Linked DNA regions of Macaca mulatta. The protein of the gene in region 1 interacts with the protein of each later gene in a pairwise test. Links are inferred from orthologs where the notes say so. Each region holds a gene or a part of one and is shown in the gene's direction. Other genes may lie near its edges. The genes, in order: TCL1A, LSM3, CADPS, PRTFDC1 and TXLNA.

Evidence for each region.
Region 2: the proteins of TCL1A (region 1) and LSM3 interact in binary tests that used the Homo sapiens proteins (3 or more experiments, as listed by UniProt). The two-hybrid records come from large-scale screens. The link is inferred for Macaca mulatta from reciprocal best matches to the Homo sapiens genes TCL1A and LSM3.
Region 3: the proteins of TCL1A (region 1) and CADPS interact in a two-hybrid assay, tested with the Homo sapiens proteins (3 studies listed by BioGRID and IntAct). The two-hybrid records come from large-scale screens. The link is inferred for Macaca mulatta from reciprocal best matches to the Homo sapiens genes TCL1A and CADPS.
Region 4: the proteins of TCL1A (region 1) and PRTFDC1 interact in binary tests that used the Homo sapiens proteins (3 or more experiments, as listed by UniProt). The two-hybrid records come from large-scale screens. The link is inferred for Macaca mulatta from reciprocal best matches to the Homo sapiens genes TCL1A and PRTFDC1.
Region 5: the proteins of TCL1A (region 1) and TXLNA interact in binary tests that used the Homo sapiens proteins (3 or more experiments, as listed by UniProt). The two-hybrid records come from large-scale screens. The link is inferred for Macaca mulatta from reciprocal best matches to the Homo sapiens genes TCL1A and TXLNA.

Annotation. Positions count from the first base shown.
Region 1 is NC_133412.1:169,015,141-169,019,098, reverse strand, and holds the start of TCL1A (T-cell leukemia/lymphoma protein 1A), read left to right. Parts: upstream 1-1,151; 5' UTR 1,152-1,250; coding exon 1,251-1,370; intron 1,371-2,938; coding exon 2,939-3,109; intron 3,110-3,521; coding exon 3,522-3,569; 3' UTR 3,570-3,579; intron 3,580-3,958. UniProt on the Homo sapiens protein: Enhances the phosphorylation and activation of AKT1, AKT2 and AKT3. Promotes nuclear translocation of AKT1. Enhances cell proliferation, stabilizes mitochondrial membrane potential and promotes cell survival.
Region 2 is NC_133407.1:152,980,346-152,984,656, forward strand, and holds the start of LSM3 (U6 snRNA-associated Sm-like protein LSm3), read left to right. Parts: upstream 1-1,509; 5' UTR 1,510-1,562; coding exon 1,563-1,583; intron 1,584-4,150; coding exon 4,151-4,261; intron 4,262-4,311. Other genes in the region: XPC (DNA repair protein complementing XP-C cells), read right to left, coding at 1,174-1,273. UniProt on the Homo sapiens protein: Plays a role in pre-mRNA splicing as component of the U4/U6-U5 tri-snRNP complex that is involved in spliceosome assembly, and as component of the precatalytic spliceosome (spliceosome B complex).
Region 3 is NC_133407.1:126,339,108-126,342,619, reverse strand, and holds part of CADPS (calcium-dependent secretion activator 1), read left to right. Parts: intron 1-2,138; coding exon 2,139-2,471; intron 2,472-3,512.
Region 4 is NC_133414.1:26,385,813-26,389,814, reverse strand, and holds the start of PRTFDC1 (phosphoribosyltransferase domain-containing protein 1), read left to right. Parts: upstream 1-1,202; 5' UTR 1,203-1,233; coding exon 1,234-1,281; intron 1,282-2,158; exon of another isoform or gene 2,159-2,215; intron 2,216-4,002. UniProt on the Homo sapiens protein: Has low, barely detectable phosphoribosyltransferase activity (in vitro). Binds GMP, IMP and alpha-D-5-phosphoribosyl 1-pyrophosphate (PRPP). Is not expected to contribute to purine metabolism or GMP salvage.
Region 5 is NC_133406.1:208,688,518-208,692,029, reverse strand, and holds part of TXLNA (alpha-taxilin), read left to right. Parts: intron 1-321; coding exon 322-441; intron 442-672; coding exon 673-747; intron 748-1,226; coding exon 1,227-1,319; intron 1,320-1,992; coding exon 1,993-2,088; intron 2,089-2,836; coding exon 2,837-3,130; 3' UTR 3,131-3,512. UniProt on the Homo sapiens protein: May be involved in intracellular vesicle traffic and potentially in calcium-dependent exocytosis in neuroendocrine cells.

The DNA of each region.
Region 1 (3,958 bases):
CTCTTCTATGTTGTATTCCTGGTAAATCCCGTTATATCTCGACTACCTTAGGCCACCTCAGCTCCTTCTTGGGAATTAGGCTGTCTGGATAGGCAAAGAGGCAGATATCCAGCTGTCAAGTGAATCAGATGTCCTCATCAGATCTCTTAATTTCCACTTTTGTGATATTTCAAAGGATCACAAATTATTTTCTTAGTGCCTGGTCAGAGAACCAGGAAAGAGCTAGAAGGTGAGACACCAAACTCCGTTCCATGGTGATGTTTGAACCAGGTTGGAGCTGGTTTCACATGTTTTTCATTGTGCATGACTTTCTTAATTGCCTTAGTGGGAATGTGTTACTGCAAAATAAAGTGAAATTGTTTTCCTTATTGCTTGTAATTTACAGAGGGATGGTTTTGATAATATAAACCAAGGACTTTTCAAATCCATTGATCTTAGGGTGGAAGGAGGGGTTTCTTTTTAAGTATTCATTTTGAACTATGCTTTCACTAGTAAATTCAAAGCCCAAGGGGAAAAACCCATGTTTCTCCGTTTTGTAATAGCTATTAGATGTCCACAGCATCATCAGACCTGCGGAAAACGCATGCTTTGTGTATGGAAGACGGAGCGTCAGGAGTTGTTCTTTGCCAAGAAATGGACCCTGACACTCAAAGGCACAAGCTGGAGGAGATCCAGGGAACCCGGGAAAGCCCAGGCCTAACTCAGGCCCGCGTGGGTCTCTTCTGATCCCAGAAGATGAGGACTGGGTCCCGGCTCTGGGCATCCTAGCGTCGACTGTGAGTTCCCAGCAGAGGCCCATAGTCCCGGTCCGGCAGCCGAGGGAAGCGGCGGGGTCTCCCAGAAGAAGAAAGGGCCAAGGTCACCCCGGGTGACTCTCCAGCAGCAGCGGAGGGCGGCGGTCGGGGTCGCTGCTGGCCGGGGCCTCGAGGAAGCCGCGGGTCAGCCAGGGCTGGGTCTCCGTTCCCAGGCGCTGCCACCGTTCCAGGGAGCCAGTCAGGCCGGGACGTAGCGCCTGCGTGGGACCCTCGCTTGCCACCGGGACCCCCACAAACCCCGCCCCATCCTGCCTTACGCCCCGCCCCCAGGTCGTCCTCCCGACCCAGGGTCCCGCCCCAAGGCCGTCCTCCCGCCCCGCCGCTTGGTGGCGGCCGCATGCTGCCCGGATATAAAGCGTCGGCCCCACATCCCAGGGACCAGCGAGCAGCCTGGAGAGGCTCTGGCTCTTGCTTCTTAGGCGGCCCGAGGGTGCCATGGCCGAGTGCCCGTTACGTGGGGAGGAAGTCACCGACCACCCGGACCGCCTGTGGGCCTGGGACAAGTTCGTATATTTGGACGAGAAGCAGCGCGCCTGGCTGCCCTTAACCATTGAGGTACAGCCAGCTCTGGAGCGGATGGCGAGGCAGCAGGGGCAGCCCCCGGGAGTTTGAGATGCCCTAGGAAGGGTGAGGCCTTGAGAAGCACCCACTGTGGGGCAGGGAGGATCCCCACAGATGAAGCCACTTTGAGCCGGGCTCTGGAGGATGAATAGGAGTTCTCCAGGCAGGGAAAAAGGGTGGGAAAACCGCAAAGAAATGTCGGCCAAAGGAGGGGACCCAGTGCCTGTGGAGTGTGACTATATGTTGACTACAGTAGGGCTTTTCTGGGCTTCGGGGTCCTAATCCTTAAAAATGGGTATCTCTAAGTGACTCATCCATACGGCCGATTATCGGAATCATCTTAGGTGGGTCCCAGAAATCTGTATTTTAAAAAGAACCCTCAACAGCTCAAAAGAACACGTCAACCAGGCATAGCAACCACTGCCCTAGAGTGTGAAGTATTTTCCATGACCTCTGTGCTTTATTTAGAAAACAAATTTAACAAGTGATGTCGTAGTATAAGCGCCGGTATTGAATCAATATTGACTTTGTTTTATGTGTGATGCCTTAAGATGGGTCCTTAGTCCATGTTAAGTTTTTGTTAAACAAATATATAACTCTTTTACAAGTATTTGGATTTACTCGATGAAAAAGAGTCAAAAAATGTTCAAACTCTTTCCAAACATAGACTGAAGAAAGCATAAAAAATTAAAACAAATTAGAACATGTATGTCCAGTAGCAAACAATCAAAAATTATTGAGTGTTAACTGTGTCTCTACAGATGAGAAACTGAGGCACAAAAATGTACATTTGTCCAAGGTAGGGCTGCTAGTAGGTAATGGGGTTGGAATTCTAGGCTGTTAACCACCACCAAAATTTGCATTTTTATTGGCACTTCAATTTTTTAAATATGTTTTTACTTTAATAATCAAGTTAAACATTTACTTTTTTAAAATCAAAATTTGAAGAAATAATCTGAATATTCGGTGAATTTCTTTTTTTAAATCTCTGGTTGAGAAATCTCTTCAACGTGACACCAGAATCATAAACCAGACAGTTTTTCATATAATCATGATAAATGCCACACAAAAACCCACTAGCAAACTGTGGGACAGATTTTGCCTCACATCATTGAAAAGGCCAGTATTCTTTTCCTTTCTTCTTTCTTTGTCTTTTTTTTTTTTTTTTTTTTTTTTTTTCCGTAGAGACAGGGTCTCGCTCCGTCATTCAGGCTGATTAAACTCCTGGCCTCAAGCGATCCTCCTGCCTCGGCCTTCCGAAGCACAGGAATTACAAGTGTGAGCCACTGCAACCCGCCAGAAAAAAAGTGTGCCTTTCATGGCCCTGTCTGGGTGGCTAGACACATGTGCGTGCTGGTGATCCTGGCCCAGCCAGAGTCCCTGAGAGGAGCATGCATGGCCTAAGGAAGTGAGCTTCAGGGAACAGTGATGACCGTCATTTCATACTCGGACCCCTGCCCAAATGGGTGGGTGGCTGGCAGGAAGGACTCTGGTTTTCTGTGCCTGGAGGAGCCCTGGCAAGCGGAACCTGAAAGTATGCCCTGTGCTCTTCTTCTCCTCAGATAGAGGATAGGTTACGGGTGCTCTTTCGTCAGGAAGACATCATCCTGGGGAATCCTATGACCCCCACCCAGATAGGCCCAAGCTTGCTGCCTATCTTGTGGCAGCTCTACCCTGATGGACGATACCGATCCTCAGACTCCAGTTTCTGGCGCTTAGTGTACCACATCAAGGCGAGTGTGCTTCTCCCAGGGATCCATCGGGTGATCTTGGGTTTCCCCTCCTCCGTGTCTGGCCTTAGTGGTTTATCTTCCCTCCATCCCAGTCCCAAAAGCATCAAAAATTGGGGGGAATGGACAACTGAGGATTTCTAAAGGACTTTCCCAGAGAGAAGATAGATCCTCTGAGGTATCTAACAGAACCCTACCTCCCCTTCCTCCCAGCCCCCCAGCTGGCCGCAGGAAGACATCTCCCGTGGGCAGCCACAGGCTGAAGGCTGGTGGGAGGAGGAGCAGTCTCCGAGAGCCCCTGAAATTCACACTTGGGTTCCTACCTGCTGTTTCCAGCTAGGGGAAGGCGCAGGAGTGAGGAATGGAGGGAGTGGAGGGCTCTGGCCGATCAATGCCTTCTCTGTCTGCCTCTCAGATTGACGGCGTGGAGGACATGCTTCTCGAGCTGCTGCCAGATGACTGAGTGTGGCACGGTGAGCTCCACTGACCAGGGCTTGACCCCTCTTAGTCCACAGTGGCTGTACCAGAAGGAAAGACCACCCGTTCTCCATGAAGGCAGTGCTAACCCCTCCCCGACTGCTGCCATCTCAGGCCTCCCAGGGATGGGAGAGTCTTCCTGGAGGCACCCATGTCTCTCCCTTACCACTTTGGGAGCCCCCTTTATCGCAGCTGCTCATATCTACACAGTACTTCACAACTTCACGTTTCAGCGAGTACTTCAGTTCCCATTGCCTTTTGTTTTTTTTTGTTTTGAGTCTCGCTCTGTCGCCCAGGCTAGAGTACAGAGGTGCAATCTCAGCTCACTGTAAGCTCTGCCTCCTGGGTTCATACCATTCTCCCGCCTCAGCCTTC
Region 2 (4,311 bases), on another chromosome or scaffold:
CGCATAGGTTACATGGAAACACTAGGCCATTTGATACAAGGTACTTGAGCATCACAGGTTTTAGTATCCACGGGGTATCTGGGAAGGACTACCTTAGTTTGCTCAAGGAATGTCTGACTTGAGATTTGAAGAAATCATACCTGGCAAAAGCCATGGTGGGGGGTCACTCTAGGCCGAAGGAATATCAAAGGAAAAGGCTCAAGAAATAACTTGGCATATTTGAGGAAGAGAAAGGAGGCCAATGAGGAGGGTATCTGGCAAGGAAACAAGTGGTAGGAGAAACAGGAGAGGTAGCAAGAGCCAAAACACGTAGCATCTTGCAGGCCAGGATAAGACAACTGGATTTTAAACTAAGAGCAATGGAAAACCAAGGAGAGTTTAAAGCAGGAGCATGGCATGATTTTTTTTTTTTTTTTTAAAGATTATTTGCGTTGCTGGATGCAGAGCTGGGAGGCCAGTCAAGAGGAAACTGCAGTCACTCAACTGAAAGGTGATGGTGACTTGGACAGGGGTTGTGGCCATGGAAATGAAGAGAAGTGGACAAATTTGAAATACAGTCTGAGGCTGAACTGACTGGACTTGCTGACGGGACTGGATGTGTGCACATAAGAAAAAGGTGGACTTTGTTTTATAACAAGTATTGGGACTGGAAAAACGGAGGAAAGCATAGATTTGAAGGGGAAGACCATGAGCTCTGCACTGTCCACGACAAATGTAAGAAGCCTATCCAATATCCACGAGGGGAAGTCAGGTGGGATCCCACTGTGGAACTCTGGGCGAGACTCAGCTGAAGTTATCATTCGGGAGTCAGCACACTGCATCACTCTACGTCCTGGTCCGTCCGTCCGTTTTCCTGGGACACAAATAACTGCCTTCTCCGCGTTCAACCCTGAACATCTGCGCTGTATCCTCTGGACAACGGGGAGCGGGAAAGAAGCTACGCAGGAGCTTGGGTCGGGCGAGGCTCACGGGAAGCCGCTCTGGGTGCAGAGGACAAAGGCGCAGGGACAGCGGGGAGGGCCGGCCGCGGCCTGCCGTGCTGCCCCCACTGCGCGGAACGCGCGCAGCAACCTCCTCCCGGCCTCCGCGTCTGGACTCCCGCCGCCCCTGCCTCTGGGCCTCCTCCGCCCACCGGCAGAGTCTCCCGCGAAGCCCGCTGGGCCACGCTCTCACCCTCCTCCTCCTCACGCCGGGTCTTGCTCTTGGCCTTGGACTTCTGGCTGCGCGTTTCGCGTCCCCGCGGCTCCCCGCCGGCCGCGCGCTTCCGAGCCATATTGCTTGTCGGGGAAAAATCCACTTCGCGAGTGACGCACCAGGCCGCGATGCGTTAGAACGCAGGCCCCGCCCCGAGGCGGGCGCGTCTGGCCACGCCCCTTCGTTGGAGGCCTAGTCACGCCCCCAAAGGAAGCTCCGCCCCATACCCGTGGCCACTAAAAAACCGCGGGAAGCAGGCAAGAGCACAGCAGGTTTCTATTTCCGGTGTATTGTAGCATCACGTTTCCGGAGCTCGGCGTTGCTCTTGTGTTCTCGCGAGAGGCGGGAAAGGGCGCAGGGTTTGAAACATGGCGGACGACGTAGACCAGGTGAGTGAATTTTAAGGCGGTGGCTCGGCGCCGCTTCTTGTACTAAACTGCTTTTTCCAAACGCAGGAAAAATGGCCAGTCGCGCCTCTTCTTTCCAAGTCACACGGCCTAATCCGCCCCATCCTTTCCGTAAACACCCCTGTCCGAATTTTGCTGCAGGCCCTGAGGTCTTTTCCGTTAGAAGGCCACCTGATGACTATTCATCACACTCTTCGCTTTGTTTTTTTAAATCTGTAAATTATTATGCGTGCCTACCTCACGGAGCTGTCAGGATTCCAATAGAAAGCCAGATAATAAAGTTAGGAGTTGTTATTACTGAGCACAACAATTATTTACTCATTCAGCAGAGAGAGTGAACATCAGCTTTGTATGGTTAGACACTGTTCTAAGAGCCAGGGACACTGACATCGATATATAAGTGATCCTTGCCATGACTTGGAGCTTATATTCGCGAGGAGAACAGATAAATATAAATATGTAAGATTTATAGGAACTGTGATGTGCTATGAAGGAAACAAGGAACTGGTATGCAGAATAACAGATGGTCCTAGAAGCTTTTTCACCTGGTCTTTTTCTTCCTCAAATATCTTTGGAGATCATGCTACAACTTAAACTTTCTACTGAAATCTCACCTCCTCAGAGAGGACTTCTGCCCAAATAGCACTCCCCCTACTCTGCTTACCCTGCCTCATTTTTCTTCATAGAACGTTATTTTTTCATATTAAATGTATGCATCTTTGTTTAATGTGTATCTCTCCTGACTAGAATGTAAGTGCCATAACAGTAGGCATTTTGTTTTGTTCATTCTTTTGTCCTTGGGGTTTAGAACAGTGCTGGAAATACTCAACAAATATTTGAGTGAATGAGTTAGATGATCAGAGGAGGCCTCTTTTAAAAGCCAATGTATAAAGCTACAGGATGAAAAAGAACAGAAAGTGGGCATCCCAGACAGAGGCTTAGGTAGCAGTAGAGCTCTGTCATGTGCATATTCTTACAGTATTATAATTATTCATATGCCTATCCACATTAGAATGAGCTCCTTGAGGGTGGAGATTGTGACTTCTGTATCATTGTAATCTAACAGTTGGTTATCTGATCCTTTAACAAACACCTGTTGAACTGAGGGACATAGGGACCAGTTGAGTTAGGTTATTTTTTTTTCTCTCATCGGGCCTTTTGAATCTTTAGCGCCTGTTACGAATTCAGTTACCTTCCTCCACTGGCCTTGTGTACTTACTAAAGAAGCTCTCCTTGAATCATCTAACTCTTTAATGGCTGCAACCCTCCCTTCCATGTGGGTGACCCCAAGTCATCCTAGCCCTGACCTCTAAAACCAGTGTTTCCAGCAGTTCTTTAATAATATAATATTAGTAGGAATCTTTTCTTTTCTTTTTTTTTTTTTGGATGGAGTCTCACTCTATCGCCCAGGCTGGAGTGCAGTGGCGTGATCTCAGTTCACTGCAACCTCTGCCTCCTGGTTCAAGCGATTCTCCTGTCTCAGCCTCCCAAGTAGCTGGGACTACAGGCACGTGCCAGCACGCCTGGCTAATTTTTGTATTTTTAGTAGAGACGGGGTTCACCATGTTGGCCAGGCTGGTCTCAAACTCCTAACCTCAGGTGATCTGCCTTTCTCAGCCTCCCAAAGTGCTGGAATTCAGGCCTGAGCCACCACGCCCAGCCAAAAGGAACCGTTTCTAAGTATTAATATTTTCTGCTTTCCTGGCACTGTTTTAAATGCATTAACTAGTTTCATCCTCATAAGAATCCAGAAGGAAGGTTGTGGCTTTCTCAATTACAAATGAAGAATCTGAGAATTACAGATGGCATGATTTTTAATCTCAGTTCATAAGTGTCAGGTCACAGCCAGGAGTTGAACCCAGACTGCCTGACTCCAAAGTCAGTGCTTGCTTGCTTGTTGGCACCATCTTGGCTCACTGCAACCTCCACCTCCCAGGCTCAGGCAATCCTCCCACCTCAGCCTCGGAGTAGCTGGGACTACAGGCACATGCCACCATGCCCGGCTAAGCCAGTGCTTTGAACCAGTGTTCTATTCTGGCTACTAAATATTCATCTTACTGGCCAGTTGGCAGCCTAACCTCAACCTGTGCTGAATTCATAATCTTCCCATAAACCTACACCTCTACTTGGCATTCTGACTAGTATATGGTAGGCATTAAGTGAGTGTTTTTCCTATGATTACATAATATTTGAGATAAAGCTAAAGTTCCTAAGACCCTATACCCTGAAATCGGGTCAGGCAGTTTGGATTTTGAGGGAACAAAGTATAGTCATGATTATTTTGCTGTGTAACTCCTTCTTATGTATGCGTGTTTTAATCTACATTTATATAGCACATACTATGTGAAAAGTTCTGTTCTAAGCCTTCATATATGTCACTTAAGCCTCATAAAAACAGTATTAGGTAGACACTATTATCTCCATTTTACAGATTAGGAGACTGAGGCAGAAAAAGGTTAAATAACTTGCACATGGTCATACAGCATAGCAGTGATTTAAGCACTACTTTATCTCTAGTACTATATTACTAAACCTGTTTCTGTTATCAGCAACAAACTACCAACACTGTAGAGGAGCCCCTGGATCTTATCAGGCTCAGCCTAGATGAGCGAATTTATGTGAAGATGAGAAATGACCGAGAGCTTCGAGGCAGATTACATGTGAGTAAATTTATCAAGTTACCTTGAAATCAGATTCCTTCCCACCCCCA
Region 3 (3,512 bases), on another chromosome or scaffold:
TCCTCCACTAGCCTAAAAGTGCTGTTGTTTGAGATCCGTAATGTGTTGGTTAGATGGAGAAACCATCCCCATTAAGTGTTACAGGTTTTCAGGTGAATTATTTAGCTCATTAAGACTCATAAGGCCTGAGGATTCATTTGAAACTTTTTTGTCTATAATTAATTTTCAAATTAACTCTAAGGTCTCATCTGAGTACCAGTTCCCACTCACAGGGGGGCAGGCCATGGCCTCTACCCTGTGAGGCAAACCCTCAGCCCTCCTTTCTAAATTAGTTCATTAAAGTCAACAATAAACTGGAGCCTTTTTTAAAAAAACATTTCTCCACCCCAGAAAGGCTTTGCAATGAAGCATGAGGCAATGAGACGCCCCCAGGCAGTGCTGTCTCATGGCCAACAAGTGCATTTCCTGAAATCTGACAGGGGAATGAACGTTTGCTCTGCCTCTTGAAGGATATTTATGCACCTTCTGAAGTGTGACCAGGACACAGCTCAAACCTGTCAGATGCTTCCTCTCCGTGAATATGAAATGGCGGCTTCACTGCCTTGTATTACACCCCAGAACCGTGTAGCTCATGTAAGCTTCCGAATGGTGGGCAGTGGAGCGAAAGTAAGACATTCTTAATAGAAAGCTTGGTCCCAGGACTCAACCAGGCAGCACCAGCAGACCAACCAGGGATTTTCCACCAGGCGGAAGAGGTTTTCATTAAGCAGGAGAACTCTGCGGGAAGGAAGGTAACCACGGTGAAGTAAAAAGACTATCTATTGGTAGTTAGACAATTTGAGTTACCAAAAGAAAGTCCCTTCCCCTCTCTGAAGTCTCGGTTTTTCATCTACAAAATAAACTTAACATAATACCTATGTTCACCCTTAATTCACTTTTAAAGTGTCAACTGCTGAAGACATTCTAGGACCTGAAGACATTGCAAGGAACAAGGACACATTCCTTGCCCAAGTAGAGTTTACATTTAAGGAAGGAAGATAGATAATTAAATATATGTTTACCTGATACTTGTATACTTCCAATTAAAAGTGTCATTGAAGGGATAAAAGGAGATACAAATAGTGGTTAATGTTTAACGCTATGTGCCGGATATCATGCCAGGCATTTACATATAATAATAATAACAGCAACAAGTGTAATATGGGCCAGGCACTATTTTGTGTGTGTTTTACATGTTAACACATTTAATCCTCATTTAAAAATACATACTGGCCTGGGCAACACAGCAAGACCCTGTTTCTACAAAAAGTTTTAAAAATTGTCAAGGCATACTGGCACACACTTATAGTCCCAGCTACTTGGAGGCTGAAGCAGGAGGATGGCTTGAGCCCAGGAGTTTGAGGTTGCAGTGCATCATGATCACCACTGAAGTCTGACTTAGATAACAGAGCAAAGTCCTGCCTCTATTTAAAAAAAAAAAATTAAATGCTGGGTGCATTGATTCACGCCTGTAATCCCAGCACTTTTGGAGGCCGAGGTGGATGGGTTGCTTGAGCCCAGAAGTTTGAGACCAACCTGGGCAACATGGTGAAACCCTGACTCTACCAAAAATACAAAAATAAAATAAAATAAAATTAGCCAGATGTGCTGGCATGCACCTGTAGTCCCAGCTGATCATAAGGCTGAGGCTGGAGGTCACTTAAGCCTGGGAGGAGGAGGTTGCAGTGAGCTGTGATTATGTCACTGTACTCCAGCCTAGGTGACAGAGCAAGACTGTCTCAAAAGGAAATTGAACATTAAATAAATACTATTATCCCCATTTTATAAATGAGAACACTGAGGTACAAAGAGGTTAACTTGCCCAAAGTCACACAGCCACTAAGGGGCAAGACCTATGCAGCCTGGGCAGAGGTCTCTATGCTATGTGCTGCCTCTCATGATAGTATCATCTCGTTAACCCTTGCAACAACCTGGTAGGTACAAGTGTTATTCTTATCTTACAGATGTGGACACAGAAGCAGAATGTGTAAGTAACTAGTTTGAGTTTGCACAGCCAGGAGGTGGTAGGGCAAGACGAGACCCACAGTGGTTCCTCCTGGGATGCACGTGAGGTGGGCTGGCCCAGTGTCCAGCCCCAGGAAACTGGTCCCTCTGTGGCCAACTCTCTTACTGTCTTTCCTGTCCCTGTTCTTGCTTAGGTGTTCCTGAAGAGCGACCGTGTGGCCCGCATGGTGCAGAGTGGAGGCTGTTCTGCCAACGACTCCCGGGAGGTCTTCAAGAAGCACATTGAGAAGAGGGTGCGCAGCCTGCCCGAGATTGATGGCCTCAGCAAGGAGACTGTGCTGAGCTCCTGGATGGCCAAATTTGATGCCATCTACCGTGGAGAAGAGGACCCCCGGAAGCAGCAGGCCCGGATGACAGCCAGCGCAGCCTCCGAGCTGATTCTGAGCAAGGAGCAACTCTATGAGATGTTCCAGAACATTCTTGGGATCAAGAAGTTCGAACATCAGCTCCTGTACAATGCCTGCCAGGTAAGGCGTTTCTCACCTGGGCCCAGAGCTGTGGGTAAGCAGAGCTGCATTCCGACTTCTATGAGATGCTTCTTGATTTTTTTTTTACTGGATTAAAAGTTATTACTCTACTGGTAAAAAGTTGAATACTATTTAGGCTACATTATATTCATGCTTTTCTTCTTCTTAAAAAAAAAAAAAAAAAAAAAAAATTCTGTGAGCTCCTAAAAGTCTCAGGGGCCCTAGGCACTGAGCTCATTGTGTCTAATGGGTAAGTTGGCCCTATGAGTAAGGTCTGGTTTCCATGTGTCAAAAGTGCTAAAAATCAATTTAAAAAAAAATATGGTTTTGCCTTTGGTGTTTGCCAGTGGAAGGGCTTGTGCTTCCTCAGGTGGGAAGACAACTGAACTTAGCACCTGCCTGTCAAGAGAAATTTTTTAAAATGGGAAATTTGCACAAGGCCTAATACCTGTATATTAGTCACATCATGAATTTCTGAGTGGTTCTGATAGTGAGAGCTGAGGCTCTGCTTGGGTCCACCCCAAAATGGGCCTGTATTTCCTCTAGATAGAGGACCGGGAAAGCGAGGTATCTCGTATCTTGATATCCTACCTAATCTTAGCATTATATTCATTTATTCAATAAATATTTATTATGTGCCTATTTTGCAGTCTGGAATTCTTACTGGGTGTCTCTTAGGAGCACATTCCCAGCCCCTAGCCCTAGAGATTCTCATTCTGCAGCCTCAGAGCATGGCCCAGGAATCTGCATTTTAAACAAGGGCCTTCCTTCCTGGTAATTATGTTGCCCTTCGCCTTCAAAGAATTATCAGAGAGATTCATCTTTGCCTTGTTTGCTAATATTCCCAGTGTATAAAATCTTGACACATAGTGAATGCTCAGTAAATGTTTATTGAATTAATAAATGGATAATGGAAAATTATTTTAACTAGTAGGTAGGGTCTTATCAACTATGATATATCACCTAGAATTTTCTGGATGCTTTAGTAAGAGTCTGTTTAGCATTTCATAATACAACACATGCATCACATTCAAAGATATT
Region 4 (4,002 bases), on another chromosome or scaffold:
AATCTAGAACGTCATTAACCGATTGATAACTATTTTCCCTTTAAACTAGGCAAAATCAGCATTCCTCTCCCCTCTGTGTGCCAGAATCCGAAGATGAACAAAAGAGGCCTGCATCAGGAAAACTGTGTTCAGTTCTCTTGGATTCAGGCCTTCAACCTGAATTGGGTTGAGTGAATGAAGATGCTGATGAGATGTCAGGGACCTGGGGACTGAAGACACACCCAGAAAAAGCAGGACCCTGCAGGAGTGGACAAAGAACTGGAGCACAGGGATGTGAGAGGGGTTGAAATGAACAACAGACTCATACGAGAAGGATTTCTAATCAGAAGAGAGTGACTGCTTTAATAAAGCTGCAACCTGGAACAATTACAATCTGACCAGATGTTCTTGCAAAACTGGTAAAGCAGAGAATGTGAAAAAATCTCTCCCCCTCCTCCCCTGAATGCAGTTGACCAAAGGCTGAAAGGCCGGATCCTGAAAGCCCAGATCTGATCCCTGCAGATCTGGGCCACCCTAAAAGCAATCGGGTGTAATCTTTCCAGCTCCAGGCCCTGGGATGAGGAAGATGGGGGGAAGGCAGAGAAAGGCGGAGGAAGGTGGAGGGAGGTGAGAGGAGGTGGAGGGAAGTGAGGGGAAGTGGAGGGAGGTGAGGGGAGGTGGAGAGAGGTGGGTGGCGGCTCCAGGGTTTGAAAACACATCCAGGACACTTGCCCATCCTCCAAGAGCACGCCGGCTCGCAGGCTCTTTCACGCTTCTGCTTGGGACAATCGCGTGCATGAAATCTGGCAGGGAAGAGCCAAGGAGATTGTTAGCCCGAGGGCTAGGACGGTGGATCTGGGAAGCAGGGGCCTGGGGGACACGTTCTCTTCCTGCCGCGGGCTGCCTCGTGCTCCCGAGTCCCCGCGGGGCCTGGCGGCGAGGCCGGGGGCTGCAGGCGACCATCCGGCAGGCGGCGGCGGCGACAGCGGTGGCCGCGAGGGACGCGCCCGGGGCCCGCGCTCACGGGGAGCGGTCGCGGCTTGGCAGCTGCTCCCCGCGCCCCCGCGGCCTCGCCAGGGGAGGGGGCGCCGCGCCGGGGCCCTGGATCCGCGCCAGGCCGCTGCTTCCAGCCGGCGGGCCCGGGGCGGGGCGGGGCGGCCGGGTCCCCATCCCCAAGTCCCTTCCCCCACGCAACCTTCGCCCTCCCAGCTCCTTCCCGCGCCGTCTTCCCTTCCCGCGTTCCCCGGGAGAAACATGGCCGGGAGCAGCGAGGAGGCGCCAGACTACGGGCGAGGCGTCGTGGTAAATGCAAACTCCCGATTTTGGGGCTCGCCCCGCTCCCCTTCCTCCCTGGCACCCTGCTTGTAGATTAAATGCCTGCCGTGCGTCGGGAGAGAAAGCGGGCCACCGCTTTGTTCTCCCTCCTGGCGGGGATCGCTTCCATCCTCAGACCCTGGCCTCCTCTCCCCGCCCCCAATCTGAGGAAACGCCGAGTCCCGTCCCTTCACCCCGAGTTCCCAGCGTCCCCCCGCGTCCTCCGGCCGGTAGCCCGCTCCTGCAGCGTCCCGCCGGCGCCCAGCCGTCCCCATCCCAGCGAGCCACGGGGAGCAGCTTCTGGGAGCCGGCCGGGCCGAGACACCCGCGTGCTGCTCTGTAGGCCTCCTTCTTCCTGGGCCTCCTCTTCCAGAGCGGGCTTCAAGTTTTGTTTTTAAAAAGGACACTGAGGGGTTTTGAAGGCAGCCAGGAAATAAAGTAGCTCAAGTTGACAGAACTTGAGCTCTGAAGCCTTTGGTACCCAGGTTGGGGGGCTCTCTGGCAGTGGAGGCCTCTGCAGGAGCTCTGGGACACGCTCCTGCGGGACCTATGGTTTGTCTGTAAAAGGGAGCAACAGCAGGCTGGGCTCCGGAGCGAATTGGGAGGATGCATGTAAAATATCTAGCAGTGTGTCCGGATGGGAGGGTGTGGGATGCTGGTTTCCCAGAACTGAGACTCCTGTTGGTGTCAGCCAGAGGGTCAGTGTGCTAGGATCTAATCCGTTCTTGACCTTGTGGCCGCGTCCTCCCTGCTCCCTGAGAAGTGGTTTTCCTAGAAGGTGGTGGTTATAACTTGTGTCAAGTTCAATGTGAAACTCAATGGTGGTGAGGATGGTGGGTGGAGCTAACTTGCCATCTCTTTCCAGGGATCAGCTTGTCGTTCACAGATAATCTGTTTATGAATATGAATGGCCTGAACTAAAGTAAGTGGGCTGGGGAGGGAAAGGTGACACACTCAGACAGAACCGGTCAGGTTGAAATGTGGGGCTCAGTGCTTAATTTAACAGCAGGCCCTTTCCTTCTTAAAGGATGAGGTGTTGATTTATTTATTCATTCCACAAGTTGATTGTCCTGCTGGGTTGCAGAAGGTGTTGTAGGCGCTGGGGTGCAAAAGACAAAGGCCTTGTCTTCATGAGCTTGCGTTCTAGAGAAGACACAGGCAAGCAGTGTGTAAACAAATAGAGAAAATTTCCAGTAGAGATGTGCAATAGGAGGAGGGTAACAGGATAGAGGGTAATTGGAGGAGAAGCGGGGAGTGATGCTTTTGCTCAGGTGGTCAGGGCAGCCTCTCCGCGGTGACCTTTGAACTAAGATCTGAAGGGTACACAGGAGTAGCCATGTGGACTGCAGGCGGAGACCCGCATATCAAATGCAAAAGAATCATTGTATCCGATTTATGCTTTTATAAAAACCATTCCAGTTGCCCCAGGAGGAGGGGCAAGCCTAGCGGTGTGATGGATGGGAGGGAGACTAAAACGCAAAAAGGGCAATCACTAAGTTCATTGTGGACAAATTGAGTCTGCAGTGCCTGTAAGGCCCACAGATCGGGCTGCACTGTAGGCAATTTGTGAAATTCACATTTGGAATTCAGGAGAGCGATTGGAGAGATTTGGAAATCAGCAGAAAGAATAATATTTAATGTTCAGGAATGCTCAGTGAATGTGGAAAAAACAATTAAAGCAACTGTTAAGGATGGAAGCCTGGAAAGTCCCAAATGTAGGAGGCTGCCTGTGGGGGAGAAGCTGGTTGAAGGAACCGAGAAAGAACGCTGAAGGGTGGGAGGGCAGGCAGGGTGGTGGGTGCCTTGGGAACAGAGCATTGTTGAGCGGGAGGGGCGGTGTCAAGAGGTCATCAGAAGTGTCAGATGCTACAGGGACAGCAAGTTGGATACCAAGATGGAAAACAGCCACTGTATTTAACAATTACAAAGTCATTAGTAGGGAGAATCTTTTAAACAACCACTCCATTGGTAGAACAGTTAAAATATAGTACAAGTTGAGCATCCCTAATCCAAAAATCCAAAATCCAAAATGCCCCCAAATCTGACACTTTCTGTGCGCCAACATGATGCTGAAAGGAAATACTGGCTGGAGCATTTTGGATTTCGGATTTTCAGATTAGGGATGCTCAACCAGGAAGTAAATGCAAATATTCCAAAATCCAAAGAAAAAAAAAAAAACATCAGTAATTAGAAACACATCTGGTCCCAAGCATTTTGGGTGAGGCGTACTCAACTTGTACTACCATAACATACTAGATACTTTTAGAAAAGAATAAGGTGGATCTAGATGCACTGATAGAGTAGGTAAATTGTTGAAGTCTAAGAAACAAGTGAGAGAACATTGTAAATAGCCCAGTCTATTGGTGTCAACAGAGGTCCTCCTGGAAGCAAGGTAATTTTTTGAAAAATGCAAAGAGGTAGTAAGAGGGGTATAAAGAGAATAGAGGGCCAGGTGAGGTGGCTCATACCTGTAATCCCAGCACTTTGGAAGGCCAAGGTGGGTAGATCACCTGAGGTCAGGAGTTCAATAAAATCCTGACCAACATTGTGAAACCTAGCTGCTACTAAAAATACAAAATTAGCTGGGCATGGTAGTACATGCCTGTAACCACAGCTACTCGGGAGGCTGAAGCAGGAGAATTGCCTGAACCCGGGAGGTGGAGGTTGCAGCAAGCTGAGACTGTACCATTGCACTCCAGCCTGGGCAAC
Region 5 (3,512 bases), on another chromosome or scaffold:
CAGAAGTGAGGGCTTCCAACCCCATAGGTGATCAATCCTGGGGTCAGAGATTTGAGTGTGTTTATTGCTTGGCTTCTTGGGAGCAGATTCCATCCATAAACCATGTACTTACCAAAGTCTGACTCACTGGGAGAGAAACGAGGTGAGCTTGGAAAGATGACCTTCCAGAGACTTGGGGCCCATGTTGTGTGGTACACATGGGAGTCCAGCATATCAGATTGAGATGGGGGGCTGGGCAAAGTGCCCTGGTCTTTGGCTGTGGGGCCACCCTGAGAAAAGGAGCTCCTGACAAGCTGACGGCTCCCACCATCTTTGCTGCAGCATATCGACAAAGTCTTCAAACACAAGGACCTACAACAGCAGCTGGTGGATGCCAAGCTCCAGCAGGCCCAGGAGATGCTAAAGGAGGCAGAAGAGCGGCACCAACGGGAGAAGGATTTTGTGAGGCTTAGGCCCAAGGGTTGGGATGGGGGTGTGGGAGGAGGCAGGTTGGGCTGTGGCTCAGTTCATAGCCGGGTTATATGGGAGAAGTTGTCTGGCCAGACCAGGCACAGATTCCTTGAGTATCAGTCTGAGAGCAGGAAACCTTGGTGGGTTTGGTGCTTGTGGCTAAAAACCAAACATAGCCCCTGGGGGCTTCTGACAGGATCTGGGGTTCTGTCTTGGAAATAGCTCCTGAAAGAGGCAGTAGAGTCCCAGAGGATGTGTGAGCTGATGAAGCAGCAAGAGACCCACCTGAAGCAACAGGTGAGAGCATATAACCTGACCCTGTGCCTTCAAGGTCCCCTCACTGGGCCCCATCCTGGGGGTAGTGAAATGGGACCCTCATTCTAGGACTGGCTGTGTCCTGGCTGCTATGAGACCTTGGTTGAGCCTTTGTTCTCTCTGGACCTGCACAGTACCTATATGGTGGTGACCAGGTAGTTAGGTGGGCTCAGAGGATTTCATTTGTAGCTCAGAAATGTTGTATTGCTTTTGAGGAGGTGGGAACAAAAGAGTTTGAAAATCAACATAAAGGCAAAATAAAAGTCACCCTAAGTCTCCTACTTTCCAGGCTTAGCATTTTGGATTATATCCTTCCAAATACATAGCTTTGCTTTGTTTTAAGGAAAAATAGTATCTCAATAGAATTACTGGGTCAGAGGGTCAAGGACAGGTCTGAGTGTGTTGACCAGAGTGCCTCCCAGAGAAACCCAATCTTATCTGTGGGCTGCTTTCTCCCCCAGCTTGCCTTATACACAGAGAAGTTTGAGGAGTTCCAGAACACACTTTCCAAAAGCAGCGAGGTGTTCACCACATTCAAGCAGGAGATGGAAAAGGTAACTGTGGTCCAGGCCACGCATGGCTCCTGGAGCATAAGCTGCTTCATTCAAAATGGTTGGGCCTGCCTTCAGGAAGCTCCCATCTGGGGTGTCTCAAGGGTGGGGCTGTTAGGAGAGTTCACAGCCTTTCCCCTCTCGAGGCAGTATCAGTGGTGTGTATACCCTCCAGGTTGTCCCGGGGAATGGGGCAGCCATTTCTTTTGTTTGTTTGTTTGTTTTGAGATGGAGTCTCGCCCTGTTTCACTGGCTGGAGTGCAGTGGCACGATCTCAGCTCATTGCAGCCTTTGTGCCCCGTGTTAAAGTGATTCTCCTGCCTCAGCCTCCTGAGTAGCTGGAATTACAGGCACGTGCCACCATGCCTGGCCTTTTTTTTTTTTTTTTTTTTTTTTTTTTTTGGTATTTTTAGTAGAGACAGGGTTTCACCATGTTGGCCAGGGTGGTCTTGAACTCTTGGCCTCAAGTGATCCACCCACCCTGGCCTCCCAAAGTGCTGGGATTCTGGCCCCTTACCATTTCTTGTTGTTAGTGGTGGACACTTGTGACTTCTGGTGGTAAGGTGGCACAGAGGGCATTGACTGCACCCTGTAATCAGTCAGTCCCCACCTTGGAGACACAGGTGCACAGAGAGGCCGGCTCTGACCATTTCCTTCTGTCTGTCACATAACCTAGATGACTAAGAAGATCAAGAAGCTGGAGAAAGAAACCACGATGTACCGGTCCCGGTGGGAGAGCAGCAACAAGGCCCTCCTTGAGATGGCTGAGGAGGTGGGCTGTCTGTGATCTGCAGCCAGGGTGGGGGTGTGCACTTAGCGCATATCAGGCCCTTTCCTGTGTGTTCTACCCATCAGTGACACAGCTAGCATGAGGTAGAGGTGAGATTTGCACACATTGTCCAAGTCCAAAGTTAATGCTGTTCTCTCCCCATGGGAGATGGTGAGCCCAGTGGTAGGTCTCCAGTGGGAGTGAAGGGAGCAAATGGAAGAAAGGAATAAAAGAGCAGAAAAAACAGGGGTGCCAGTGATGTGCCTGGTTTACATGTAAAGCAGCCCAGGTAATTTGTGATTTCATGGCTTCTAATGTAGAAGAAAGGAACTAACACTGATGGAGCAGCAACGACAAGCCAGACCTTGCTGAATGTTTTTGGGTTTGTCTTTTTTTTTTTTTGCTGCTGAATGTTTTTAGGTACGTGGTTCATTGAACCTTCTCTTGAGATCCGAGGATGGTATTAGTAGTCCTGTTTTACAGATGAGACAGGCTCAAAAGCCAAGTCCTTTGCCAAGGTCATGTGGTAGATAAATGGAGGAATATGTTATGTCCAAGCCGAGCCCCTTTTCTGCACCACACTGCCCCACCTGACAGTCTAGTCATGGCTTCAACCAGGACTGTTTCCTAGAGGGGGCCAGCTTCGGACTCAGTCTGCTCCCAGCCTTGTTAAAAGTGTTTGTCACCAAGTAGTGATGGTAAGTGGGAGGTTGATGGGGCATGGCACTGAAGGTCTCATTTCTCTCCCTAGAAAACAGTCCGGGATAAAGAACTGGAGGGCCTGCAGGTAAAAATCCAACGGCTGGAGAAGCTGTGCCGGGCGCTGCAGACAGAGCGCAATGACCTGAACAAGAGGGTACAGGACCTGAGTGCTGGTGGCCAGGGCTCCCTCACTGACAGTGGCCCTGAAAGGAGGCCAGAGGGGCCTGGGGCTCAAGCACCCAGCTCCCCCAGGGTCACAGAAGCACCTTGCTACCCAGGAGCACCGAGCACAGAAGCATCAGGCCAGACTGGGCCTCAAGAGCCCACCTCTGCCAGAGCCTAGAGAGCCTGGTGCTGGGGCATGCTGGGAAGGGAGCAGCAGCCCAGCCAGGCCTGGCCCATAAAAAGCTCCCATGCTGAGCAGCCCATTGCTGAAGCCAGGATGTTCTGACCTGGCTGGCATCTGACACTTGCAATTTTGGATTTTGTGGGTCAGTTTTACGTACATATGGCATATTGCAAGGCCTAATGCATTTATACCTATAAGTGTACAGTGGGCTTGCATTGGGGATAGGGGTGTGTACAGATGAAGTCAGTGGCTCCTCTGTCAGCTGAAGAGTCTTGAGAGGGGCTGTCATCTGTAGCTGCCATCACAGTGAGTTGGCAGGACAAGTGACTTGAGCATTTCTCTGCCTGACTTGAGGCTCAGACCCCTCCTTGCCCTT